Arabidopsis thaliana: one gene and its partners. The protein of the gene in region 3 interacts with the protein of the main gene of each other region in a pairwise test. Each region holds a gene or a part of one and is shown on either strand. Other genes may lie near its edges. The genes, in order: BTI3, SIP2;1 and CB5-E.

Region 1 (4,130 bases), 5.1 Mb from region 3:
CGGTTTAATCAAAATGACTGTACTTGGCTTTCACTGTTTCATCTTTTCTTTCTTTTTTGTCGTCACTGTTCATCTTTAAGTTTTTTTGCTTTTGAAAGTAAATGGTTAAATGATGACAAAAAAAAAAATAATGGTTGTTGTAAAAAAAGTTATCTACTTTAATCGGAAAAATAATAAATTTAAAAATCCAGTCATTGAACATAAAACTAAAAACAGAAATGTCAGAAGTGGGGTTTGAACCCACGCCCTCTTACGAGGACCAGAACTTGAGTCTGGCGCCTTAGACCACTCGGCCATCCTGACTTTTGATATTGTTTTCTACTACAAACTATATATAGTGATTAACACCTAGTTGTCTACCTTACGTATGTTGCTTACTTTAAGTAATTATCCAGATTTGATGGTTATCATACCGAAAGCGTTTGGTATTGTGGAATCCACTTTTTGTGTGATTATTTTTGTCGAGAAATCGTGAAATCGCAATTTTGGCAAAAGAATTATGAACAAATTTTTTTGGAAAATTATCAAATTGCGTTTAACCTAGTTCATATACCAATCATTTTAGCTTTTCCTATGAACAAGATGTTGAGATGATGAAAGAGATGGAATGGGAAGAATATTATTAGTCAAATAAAAACAAGAAAGATTCTTATGAACTAAAGTTAGATCGCAGTAGCAGTGAAGAGCGAAAAACCCACGAAACAATTTGAGTTTATGTGTATGGACCAATCCTCAGACATGATGCAAAATTGACATGACGAATACCATCATGGAGAGCTGTTAAAAGGATGAGAAATTAACTAAGACAAATAACTAACAACAATAATTATCATCCATCCGTGTTCTCTCATAATCTAAATATTTTTAGTTAAAACCCCCAAATTTATAATGAACATAATAATAACAAGAGATCAAAGGGTTTATCAACCAACAGCTTCTAACAAAACATGTCTTGAACCATTACTACGATTCCAATGAGAGAGTAACTCACATTCCTTAATCCTTCTTCTTGTTCAGAGCTCCTCTTGGAATCTTGCTTATGACCTTACGCAATACCTTCTCATCAAGTACTGCATATTGCTTTTTGATCTCCCTCATCGCCTTCTCCCCATAGGCATCTACTTTGTCCTCATACTTCTCGTAGAGTACAGGAATGGTGAAGAGAAGGACAGTAGCTGGAAGCAAGAAAGAAAAGCTGGTTATCAAGATATGCAAGTATGATTCCTATCAGATTAAATGCAGTAAGATGTAAATGAATCGTTACCAGTGTAGAACAATGTCAAGAAGTTGTAGCAGCTGCCAATAATGGACAAAACCCACAAGCCAGCAATTACCTAAAACATGTGCAAGCAAGTATTAGCATTTATGAGGAACATAAGAAAACCGCTTTGCATCGAGGTAGATAACATGAACAATACCAGGATAAATTTCTTGACATCTTTTCCTGATGCAATGTTCCTAAGAAGGGTCAAACCACGATTGATTTCAATCCTTAATCCAGAAACAAGTTGAAGAATAGGATCTTCAGGGATGTGAACTTCCGGGATGTGAGGAGTTGACCTGAGGATAAGAACTCAGTTGATCAGGCAGTTATCTCATACTTAACACTTAACATATAAGGGATGTTGTAAGAACATACTTGTGGATGAATGTACAAGCATTAGACCACAAGAACAATGCTGCAAGAGCAAAAATCGCAAAGTGACAGAGAAAAGCGAGGAGATGGTATTCGAATAACTCGAATAAGACCCAAGACGCAGTTACAGCACCCAAGACTCCACCAGATACCTTCTTGTTCCTCCAAAGGAATATATCAGCAGCTACATGCAAACAATGAATCCAGATTCAACATAGTTTCTGAGTATTTCACAAGATTTAAGCGTACTTTCGAGCAAAGCAGACAATTAAGCACTCAAATACACTCAATTTTAGCTTCAAATTAGAGCAACATTCACTAGATCGAGCAAAATCACTATGTAAGATACAAAATCGAGTAAAATCAGAGTTCAAAGTGAAGAAATAGAGATAGATCCATACGTTTTCCACCACCGAGAACCTTGTGAACAGGTTTCTCCCTTCCGAAAAGTCGGTAAATCTTTGACTTGAAGGACGACGACGAAGACGATGTAGATTTCTTATCGTCGTCGGAATCGGACAGAGAAGACGAGTCACCGTGGCCATGGATCTTCTCAACAATCTTCTCCAAGATCGATTCCTCGTGCTTGTGGTCTTCCACCATTTTTGTTGATTCTACAAACCTCCGAGAAGAAGAAAAAAAAACCTAAAACTCTTTACTGATTGAAGAGTGTGGGAGGAGACTGTGACGAATAAAAGCGTGTGCTTCAGATTTAATCCCACCCCTTGATTTAAAACATTTAATCCAGTCCGTTTGATTCGGGTCTGGGCCTCGAGTAGGTAACCGTCCACGGTGGAAAATCAAACTATTTATTTTGTAGCAGATGTAACATATTTGGCGTGGAACTAACGGTCGTTAATTAATGTGAATATTCCCGATAACGTCTCCGTTAGTGGAACGTTAGATGTCGGCGGATAGGATCCAGCATTGGGCCCATTTATGGGATTGTTGGTACAGTATTAAGGCCCATTTATTACTGATCCATTTCATAGTAAAAATAAAAAATTGTTAGGCATAGTAAAATTGTTATGAGAATATGTTGATAGAATGAAAATGCTCCTAGATGAAAGATGATCATACACCTGTTGATTAAACATTACAAGGTCACAGATTATATATATTGACATCTCAAAAATTAACCAAGACGCTGCGTTTTGGAGATATTGGATTTCGAAGACCCGGAAGATAAGAGGAGAATAGTCAGTGACTCTCACGCACGTGGGGTTTGAATTGATGACTCTGGTCTCTTGGCCTCGAGATCTAACTTCTTCCGTGGGATCCAATTTTGAGCTGAGTCATGACACGTGTTACAACACGTGTGCTCCACTGTGTCGACATCACTCTTGAAGGTAAGATTTTTTGGAGTAATGGCAAACCCAGAGATCAACAAAATCAGGTTTGACAATGAAAGCTCACTTATTTATTTATGTACTTTTCCAATAATTTGATTAGTCCAAATATATTATTCTATTTGGATATTCATTCATATACATAATTACATACACATGCAGTGTTAGAAGTGAGTTTAATATGGAAGATTCGTCGTCTAGTGTGACATGAAATTCCACCATTTCATATAATTAGATTTTCTTCTTATATATATAATTTTATGCATCTAATCGTGTGGATGAGAATTGTCCTTCACCTAACCAACCTTTTCGAAGAAAAAGAGAGATTTGTTTCTTAATATATCTTCAGAAAGAGAGAGAGATTCGATGACAAAAAGGATAAGAGATTCTTGGAGACCTCAAAAATCTACTATCGTGGGTCTAAGAAGATTACGTGGCTCGTTTTAAGACCCTTGCATAATCTTAAAGTTCTTACCTATTTTTTTTTTTTTGTCGTAAAGTTCTTACCTAATACAGTAATATATTTTTATATTGTATAAAATATTATACATTAATTAATCAAAAAAAAATTCCAATTCAATCCTGAAACAGTGAAACCCATGCGTGCCAAAGCCAAAAATCTGACTACCTTGCTAAGTGCTAATCATTACCCAATCAGAGTTCATATCAGGAATATACCATATCCATAAGAGCTATATACTAATTACTTGCAAAAGTTTGCACCAAACCTTACTACGTACAAAAGAAAAGATCGTAGATGGTCAAAATTGTGGCTTACTATAATGGCTTATTATATAGTTATTTTTAGATAGCTAAATTTCTTGTATATACAATTTTGAGTTTTACGTATAGAAAAAAATATCATATTTGAGTTTGGTAAAAAGGATGAGTAAATAATTTGGAGATTTCAACCTTCATGTTAAGTTTTCATTTTCGATTAATTTTATCTAATTTTTTATTTTAATTTCTTTGATAACCAAACAATGTAATTTAGACTAATCCTTTTGGACTTATAAAACAAAAACAATTTACTATATATGCAAGCTGTAATAGGGTGATTTGAGTTCTAGTCCACTAAATGTAAATGTTACGTACGTTAAATTTGTATTTGTAATGTGATAAAAAAAAATCTAATGACCTGTATT
Region 2 (3,739 bases), on a different chromosome or scaffold from region 3:
GGCCTAACCAGTAAGAGGATTGGCTTTACAGGTTTATGTGACAATGTACCTCAATGACTGCCAAAGAACTAATTTCTACGAGGGTATCGGGTTAAACACAAAGGAGTTCGATATGCATGTCATCATCGAGGTAAAGGAACTTGAAACAAGAAGATTAATATTAACCTGTGTTATGTTCCTTTTTCTGAAAATGTTGAGATTTGTTTCAGACAAACCGAACCACGGCAAGAATATTCCCTGCGGTGCTGGATGTTGAGAACCCTGAGTTCAAGAGGAAACTGGATAGAATGGTTGTGAGCTATGAGAAGCTGCTGGCTATAGGAGAAACAGATGATGCTTCCTTCATCAAGACCCTCAAGAGGATTCCTTTGGTTACTTCTTTAGCCTCTGAGATCTTGGCTGCTTATCTCATGCCTCCTGTTGAGTCTGGCTCTGTTGATTTCGCCGAGTTTGAGCCTAATCTTGTCTATTAGTAGCTGCAATGTCAAGTCTTGAGTTTACGGCTGGTTCTTGATTTCTTGTAATTGAATGATCGAAACTGAGAAACATCGTCTTTTTTTTTTTGCAATAAACTTTTACTGCATATATTTGATCATATTGCGCATTGGACTTACTTAAATTTCAGATTTTATTGAACTGGTTGATACAGTTGAGTTTGCAACATAAAAAAAAAACACATTACAAAATCTACGAAAATATCCCTGGAAACAATCCTACCCTCTGTGTCTTGTGTAAAGGAGATTTATCCAGAGAGGATTAAATATGAAAGCTGAGCTCATTCCTCATTCCTCACTCAGATTTGGCCTTAGGTTTCTCTTGTTCTTCGGTGAGAGGCTTAAACACAACTTTGAAGAACCAAACTGCAAGCAACGTAGCCTTCACAGGTCCAAGCCAATACACAAGTAAATGCTCTTTCGTTATATGTTCACCGCGTGCATAAGCCCATCCCATAACCTGCAAAGATTCACACAAAAGCAAACATTCAAAACAAAGATCGCTATTTGCTGAAATCACAATCACAAGACTTTTTTTTGGTACATACAGCTGCAGGGTTCATGCATCCACCGGTAAGATCAGAGCCAAGAATATGAAGAGTTAACTTAGCAAGACTACCGATCCAAGTCTTCATGAAGAAACTTCCCGGGATTTTTCTTGTTAGTCCCATTGAGAGCAGTACAATGAAGAATGTTAGTATCCCTTCTGTTAAAGCACCGTGGTGAATTGCTACATTTAGTTTAGGTCCTTTCCCAATCTCAGGGAATACGTGAATGATATGCTTAACCGCAAGAATTGATCCTATTACCTGAAATAACACAAAACCAGAGTTTCACAATAGTATCATCTTTGATTACACATTAGAGCAAAAGATCTTCAAGATGAAGTCTTTATAAAACAATAGAGCATATAACCAAAATGATCTGGTTTTCAAAGAAGAACCCATCAGCTAAATTCTCCTTTTTTTTCTCTAATTTGACATTTTACAACATTACACAAACCCTGAGACCTCTCTCTAACGAAGAGTCAATTTCAATTAAACCAAAAAAAGTCAACGAAACAAACCTCGACGGGGATTCGAACGAAGACGGAGAAGATGAAACTGCTGAAGCCACCGGAGACTCCAGCAGCCAAAGCGGTCAAAGGATTATAAAGCCCGCCTTTGGTGGCTTGTTGAAGGTAGGCGAAGATGAACATGGAGATGATAGAGAAGAGATAACGAACGATCTCACCGGAAGGATCGGTCCGGCTAAATCCAAGAACTCCATGGACTAAAATGTTGACCAGAACTCCTGCCCATATCCACATGAACGACAATACCAGATCAGTCACTACTAAACCGATTCGTCCCATTTTTCGATTCCAACGATGAGAACCAATTTCTCAGAAAGAAAGAAATTAAAAGTTAGCGTTTTTATGATCTGAATTTAGGATAATTGAGGACCGTTGAAGAGAATCGAGATTATATGATTGGCTCTAAGCGGCTGGTGAATTTAGCATATAATTGACGCTAGAGACATTGTTTGAGTCTGAGTCAGCTTCCGACAATAAAGGTTTTGGCTTTGGTGTGTCGTGATGAGATTATAGATTCTCTTCGATTTTGGAACGAGCTTCGGCTATTAACCAATAGACATCAACTAAAGTGATACGTTATTACTGGATAAAGTATTTACTTTACACAGTTAACTAATAATTACAAATAAATTACTACAATTAGCCTTCTTAAGAATTGTTTACAAAAAAGCCCTCCAATTTTAACCTGCGACGGAAGTTTCCCCTCAGGAAAAATATGACCTTTTGATCTTTACACGCTTGGCTTTGGGTTGTAACTTTTGTCTCTCTTCTATCGTTTATGGTGTTTGAAGCTTCAGCATTGGGAATGGATCTTTCCTTTTGAAAATAAGTTGTGAATATACGGAAAAATGTGACTTGTTAGTGGAGAAGCAATGCGTTTAAAGTGTTCGACAGAATGCCTCAGTGAGTTAGAGTTTCAGTTACCTCTGTTTTTGATTATAGCTCTTAGTGATCTCAGATTGGAGACGTTATCAGTCTTGGCTAAATTGATTAATTATTACTTTTTCCGATTTTTTTTGTTCTGAAGAAAATATGTTTGTTTATGAGAGGAAAGCTCGGAGATGCTAAGAATAGAGAAAAATGGGTCATGCTTGTTTCTCTAAATTTGAAGGCTTTCATTGGTTTGAGGAGATGAACGGTTTCTTCTTTGAACGACATAATTAGTTAAGATGAATTGACAAGAAAAGATGAAATGTCGGAGAGAATTTTTTTGATCCCTTAACTCTTTTGGCCATTGGTTTTTCTCTCTCTCTGATTCTTTGTTAGGTTTCCATGATTGTTCATATCAGCTTTCACTCCGAAAATGTTGCATTCTAAAAGACCAAAAAACATTCTTTTTTCTTGTGATTCAATGGCATAGAGACAGGAAGTCACAGAGTAAAGACCATTGCAGATTTCTTCATGCTGCGTTTGATTTAATGGTTTTAGGTTTACACTTTGTTTTTTCTTTTGCACAGAGTTCATGGTTTTCTCTTGTGTATGTGTACATTGATAGGATTGTTGTTTAGACAAGAACAAATATGTTTTCTGAGTTTATGTTCTAGGATATACATATAGGTATCTTAGAGAAAAGTTTTATTAGTTTAAGAAGATGAGCAAGGAACAAAGCTGTGTTCTAAAGGCTTGGGAGGTGACCGTAAGAAAGACCCAACAAGCGAAGAAGCGTGCAAACAGCATTTTTGGGACGGTATCTGTAGCTCCACAGACAGATGATGATGCTACTACTACGACTGAGGAGAATGATGATGAGACCAGCACTAACAGAAGCAGCATAGGGGAATTGTACCATGCAGAGAGAATACTTCCTAATGGAGACTATTATACAGGGCAATGGTATGATAGTTTTCCTCACGGGCATGGGAAGTATCTTTGGACAGATGGTTGCATGTACATTGGTGACTGGTACAACGGGAAGACTATGGGAAGAGGGAAGTTCGGGTGGCCTTCTGGTGCCACATATGAAGGCGAATTCAAAAGTGGATACATGGATGGTGTTGGCCTTTACACAGGTCCTAGTGGAGATACTTATAAAGGTCAGTGGGTGATGAACCTGAAACATGGACATGGAATCAAGCGTTTCGCGAATGGAGATGTGTATGATGGTGAATGGAGGAGGGGTTTGCAAGAAGCCCAAGGAAAGTATCAGTGGAGAGATGGGAGCTATTACATG
Region 3 (3,664 bases):
CTTTTTGGCGCGGTTCTGTCTTGGGGAATCATGTGGCCACTCATTAAAGGTCTTAAAGGAGATTGGTTCCCATCAACTCTTCCTGAAAACAGCATGAAGAGTCTCAATGGTTACAAGGTTCCATACAAAAAACACTAGTACTCTACAATAAACTCCGCCCTTTCTTTCGCGTACTTTCGTTCTTAATTTGTTCATAACTCTTTAGGTGTTTATATCAATCTCATTGATCCTCGGAGACGGGCTTTACCAATTCATCAAGATACTTTTTAAGACAGGAATAAACATGTACGTCAAGTTAAACAATCGCAACTCTGGGAAATCTAGTAAGTATACACCAAAAAAACTATAGAAAAATCGTCATTTCAATAATGTATTATCTGATGTTCAAACGTAAATCGCAGATTCGGAGAAAGATAAGCAATCTATTGCAGATCTTAAAAGAGATGAGATCTTTGTAAGAGACAGCATTCCATTATGGGTTGCAGCAGTAGGATACGCAGCGTTCTCTGTTGTCTCGATCATCGCGATCCCTATAATGTTCCCCGAGCTGAAATGGTACTTCATAGTCGTAGCTTACATGTTAGCTCCATCGTTAGGTTTCAGTAACGCTTATGGAGCAGGGCTAACAGATATGAACATGGCTTATAACTATGGTAAAGTCGCTCTGTTTATCTTAGCCGCTATGGCAGGGAAACAAAATGGTGTAGTCGCGGGACTTGTCGGATGCGGGTTGATAAAATCGATTGTATCGATTTCTTCTGACCTAATGCACGATTTCAAGACAGGACATTTGACTCTGACTTCACCTAGGTCGATGCTTGTGAGTCAAGCGATCGGTACAGCGATCGGATGCGTTGTGGCGCCTCTAACTTTCTTCTTGTTTTATAAAGCTTTCGATGTCGGGAACCAGGAGGGAGAGTACAAAGCTCCTTACGCTTTGGTATACAGAAACATGGCAATTCTTGGAGTTGAAGGTTTCTCTGCTTTGCCTCAACATTGTTTACAGCTTTGTTACGGGTTTTTCGCATTCGCGGTGGCGGCAAATCTCGTTAGGGATAGGTTACCGGATAAGATAGGGAATTGGGTTCCATTACCGATGGCAATGGCGGTTCCGTTTCTTGTTGGAGGGTACTTTGCTATTGATATGTGTGTGGGAAGTTTGATTGTGTTTGCTTGGAATATGAGAGATCGAGTTAAAGCCGGTTTAATGGTACCGGCGGTTGCTTCCGGTTTGATATGTGGAGATGGTCTATGGATTTTGCCGTCGTCGGTTCTTGCTTTGGCCGGCGTTAGACCTCCTATATGTATGGGCTTCATGCCGAGTAAATATTCGAGTTAAAGATAGCTTTTTACGAGTTTTTACTTTTTTGTGTAGCGACAAAAAAATTAGCTAAAGAATTGTGGAAACAAAAAAAACAGTTTATATAGGAATTGTACTTTGTAAGTTTGTATACACAATAAAGTAATAAACTAGTCTCTCAATTCTATTTAAAAATCCATGTCCCAAGTAACTTCTCCCCAAAAAGAAACTCAATATTTTAGAATAAGGTCAAATGGAATTAAATTCCAGAAGATATTTGCCAAAATAGTGATAAAAATACGGTTAAATTGGTATATGTTTTTACTGACAAAAGGCAAGATTCTTCTATTTTAAGATTTATTTCTTTCTTTGAAATCTGCTAAACGTTGTTAGATCACACTTTATGTGTCTGTTTTTTTTTTTGTCAATTCAGCACACGTCATATTTGTATTTTTCAAAGTACCAAACGTGGACCAAAATAAAATCTCGTCAAAAATGGAAACCAAATTTTAATTTGATTTGCACAAAGCCCAATTTGATTTGTTTAAAGTCAAAGCCCAACTTGACCAAAACTACCCCTGCTCATCCAAACCCTAAGCAAAATATCGAGGGTAGTTTCGTATTTTGTTTATATTGAACACAATTAAGTAGGTGAGGAACCTCTATTTCTTCCGTCTTCTGCTGATTTCTGAGCTTCGGAGCTATCGAAAATTCTGAATCTGAAAGGGTAAAGATCCCATCTTTTTCCAAAAATCGATAAGGGAATTAGTATATTCGTTCATTCATCATCGTTCTGATGATTTCGATTTGAATCTGTATCTAGTACTCTGTATTATCAGAAATTTTGATTAGTAGCTTTGATGTGTTCTTGTTTTGCAGTTTGAGTGAAGATGTCTTCAGATCGGAAGGTTCTAAGTTTTGAAGAAGTTTCAAAGCACAACAAAACTAAGGATTGTTGGCTTATTATTTCCGGCAAGGTTAGATCTTGTCTCTTTGTTTGAGAACATCTCTGTTTTTTGACGAACTTAGTTCTCTTCCGCCATTGATTTGTGTCAAAGCTTCGATTTTAAAGTTGTAGAGTTGGATTGTTACTGTTAGAAGCTTTAATCGAGCCCCTCGTAGATTTAGTTGATTCTATGTTAATTCACACTAGAGAAACAGAGTTTGTGTCTACTACTTGGTTATGATCTGTGATTGTTGCGTTCTTTAGGTGTATGATGTGACTCCATTCATGGATGATCATCCTGGAGGCGATGAAGTCTTGTTGTCCTCAACAGGTATAAAACTTGTGTTTCTCTCTGATTCAAGGCGGATTTGAAGCGGCTCGGTGACTGTTTCTGTTCTGATGTGGTGTTTTGTTTGCAGGGAAAGATGCTACAAATGATTTTGAAGACGTTGGTCACAGCGACACTGCAAGGGACATGATGGACAAATATTTCATTGGTGAGATTGATTCGTCTAGTGTTCCAGCAACTAGGACATACGTTGCACCACAGCAACCAGCCTACAACCAAGACAAGACACCAGAATTCATTATCAAGATTCTTCAGTTCCTTGTTCCGATCTTGATCTTGGGATTGGCTCTTGTCGTCCGTCACTATACCAAGAAAGACTAGAAGAAGCCAAAGGCTTGCTTTGATGCTTGTCATTGAATATCTCTACCGATCTCTGTCTATCTCTCTTGCGAAAAAAAGTACTGTTACTGTTGTTTGGTCTTAGACTGATTCTTGTTGAAATTACGAACCAAAAATCATTGTGTTGCTACTAGTTTTACTGTGTTGAGTTTATGATGACAGTGTTTTCGACTTTGATGATATAATAAAAGACTGCTTGATTTGCCCAAACTTAAGCTGCTTGATAAAGAAGTGAGAAACTGGATTTCTACAATTGAACAAATATGTTTCATACAATTGTGGAAATGACAGTTTCAGACTCATCCGTTACATTTTAACAAGAATATTGCCTTGTCTTTTTCATTAGTACTACAATAAAAGCGATAAGGATAGTAGTATTGTGTTTTCTCTGTGTGATGAGTAAACAAAAAGAAAGAAGAAAGAAAGAGAGGAGTGAAAACGGTAAGAACCAAACCGCAACAAACTTTAAACCTTGAGAAAACGCAGCCAGACGAGTGCAAGGGCTTTTGTGTAGTGGAAACACTTCATTTCTGGCTTTGATCGACTTCTTCATCAAATACTCTGTGATTGAGAAAGAGTTTCAATCTTGTCGTGAAGCGTCACGACAAGATGATGGGCATCATCAAGAAGCTTCCAGACATTAAGCTGACCAGCCATGCTATTACACTCTTCCACAATCTCATCCATACTACTGTATTTCTGTATGATCAGTTTCCTACGTAGTACTAAC

The links.
Region 1: the proteins of CB5-E (region 3) and BTI3 interact in a two-hybrid assay, tested with the Arabidopsis thaliana proteins (one large-scale study listed by BioGRID).
Region 2: the proteins of CB5-E (region 3) and SIP2;1 interact in a two-hybrid assay, tested with the Arabidopsis thaliana proteins (one large-scale study listed by BioGRID).

What each region holds. Positions count from the first base shown.
Region 1 is NC_003076.8:16,634,339-16,638,468, reverse strand, and holds BTI3 (VIRB2-interacting protein 3), read right to left. Parts: upstream 2,441-4,130; 5' UTR 2,240-2,440; coding exon 2,038-2,239; intron 1,821-2,037; coding exon 1,640-1,820; intron 1,561-1,639; coding exon 1,419-1,560; intron 1,335-1,418; coding exon 1,265-1,334; intron 1,176-1,264; coding exon 997-1,175; 3' UTR 561-996; downstream 1-560. UniProt on the Arabidopsis thaliana protein: Plays a role in the Agrobacterium-mediated plant transformation via its interaction with VirB2, the major component of the T-pilus.
Region 2 is NC_003074.8:21,077,797-21,081,535, forward strand, and holds SIP2;1 (small and basic intrinsic protein 2;1), read right to left. Parts: upstream 2,061-3,739; 5' UTR 1,849-2,060; coding exon 1,561-1,848; exon of another isoform or gene 1,379-1,560; intron 1,304-1,378; coding exon 1,043-1,303; intron 955-1,042; coding exon 794-954; coding exon of another isoform or gene 790-793; exon of another isoform or gene 688-789; coding exon 615-687; 3' UTR 501-614; downstream 1-500. Other genes in the region: CRD1 (dicarboxylate diiron protein, putative (Crd1)), read left to right, coding at 32-130, 210-473; PIP5K4 (phosphatidyl inositol monophosphate 5 kinase 4), read left to right, coding at 3,161-3,739. UniProt on the Arabidopsis thaliana protein: Water channel required to facilitate the transport of water across cell membrane. Inactive in yeast cells.
Region 3 is NC_003076.8:21,757,438-21,761,101, forward strand, and holds CB5-E (cytochrome B5), read left to right. Parts: upstream 1-1,891; 5' UTR 1,892-2,027; intron 2,028-2,179; 5' UTR 2,180-2,190; coding exon 2,191-2,277; intron 2,278-2,510; coding exon 2,511-2,577; intron 2,578-2,665; coding exon 2,666-2,916; 3' UTR 2,917-3,141; downstream 3,142-3,664. Other genes in the region: YSL3 (YELLOW STRIPE like 3), read left to right, coding at 1-117, 206-323, 402-1,339; AT5G53570 (Ypt/Rab-GAP domain of gyp1p superfamily protein), read right to left, coding at 3,487-3,664. UniProt on the Arabidopsis thaliana protein: Membrane bound hemoprotein which function as an electron carrier for several membrane bound oxygenases, including fatty acid desaturases.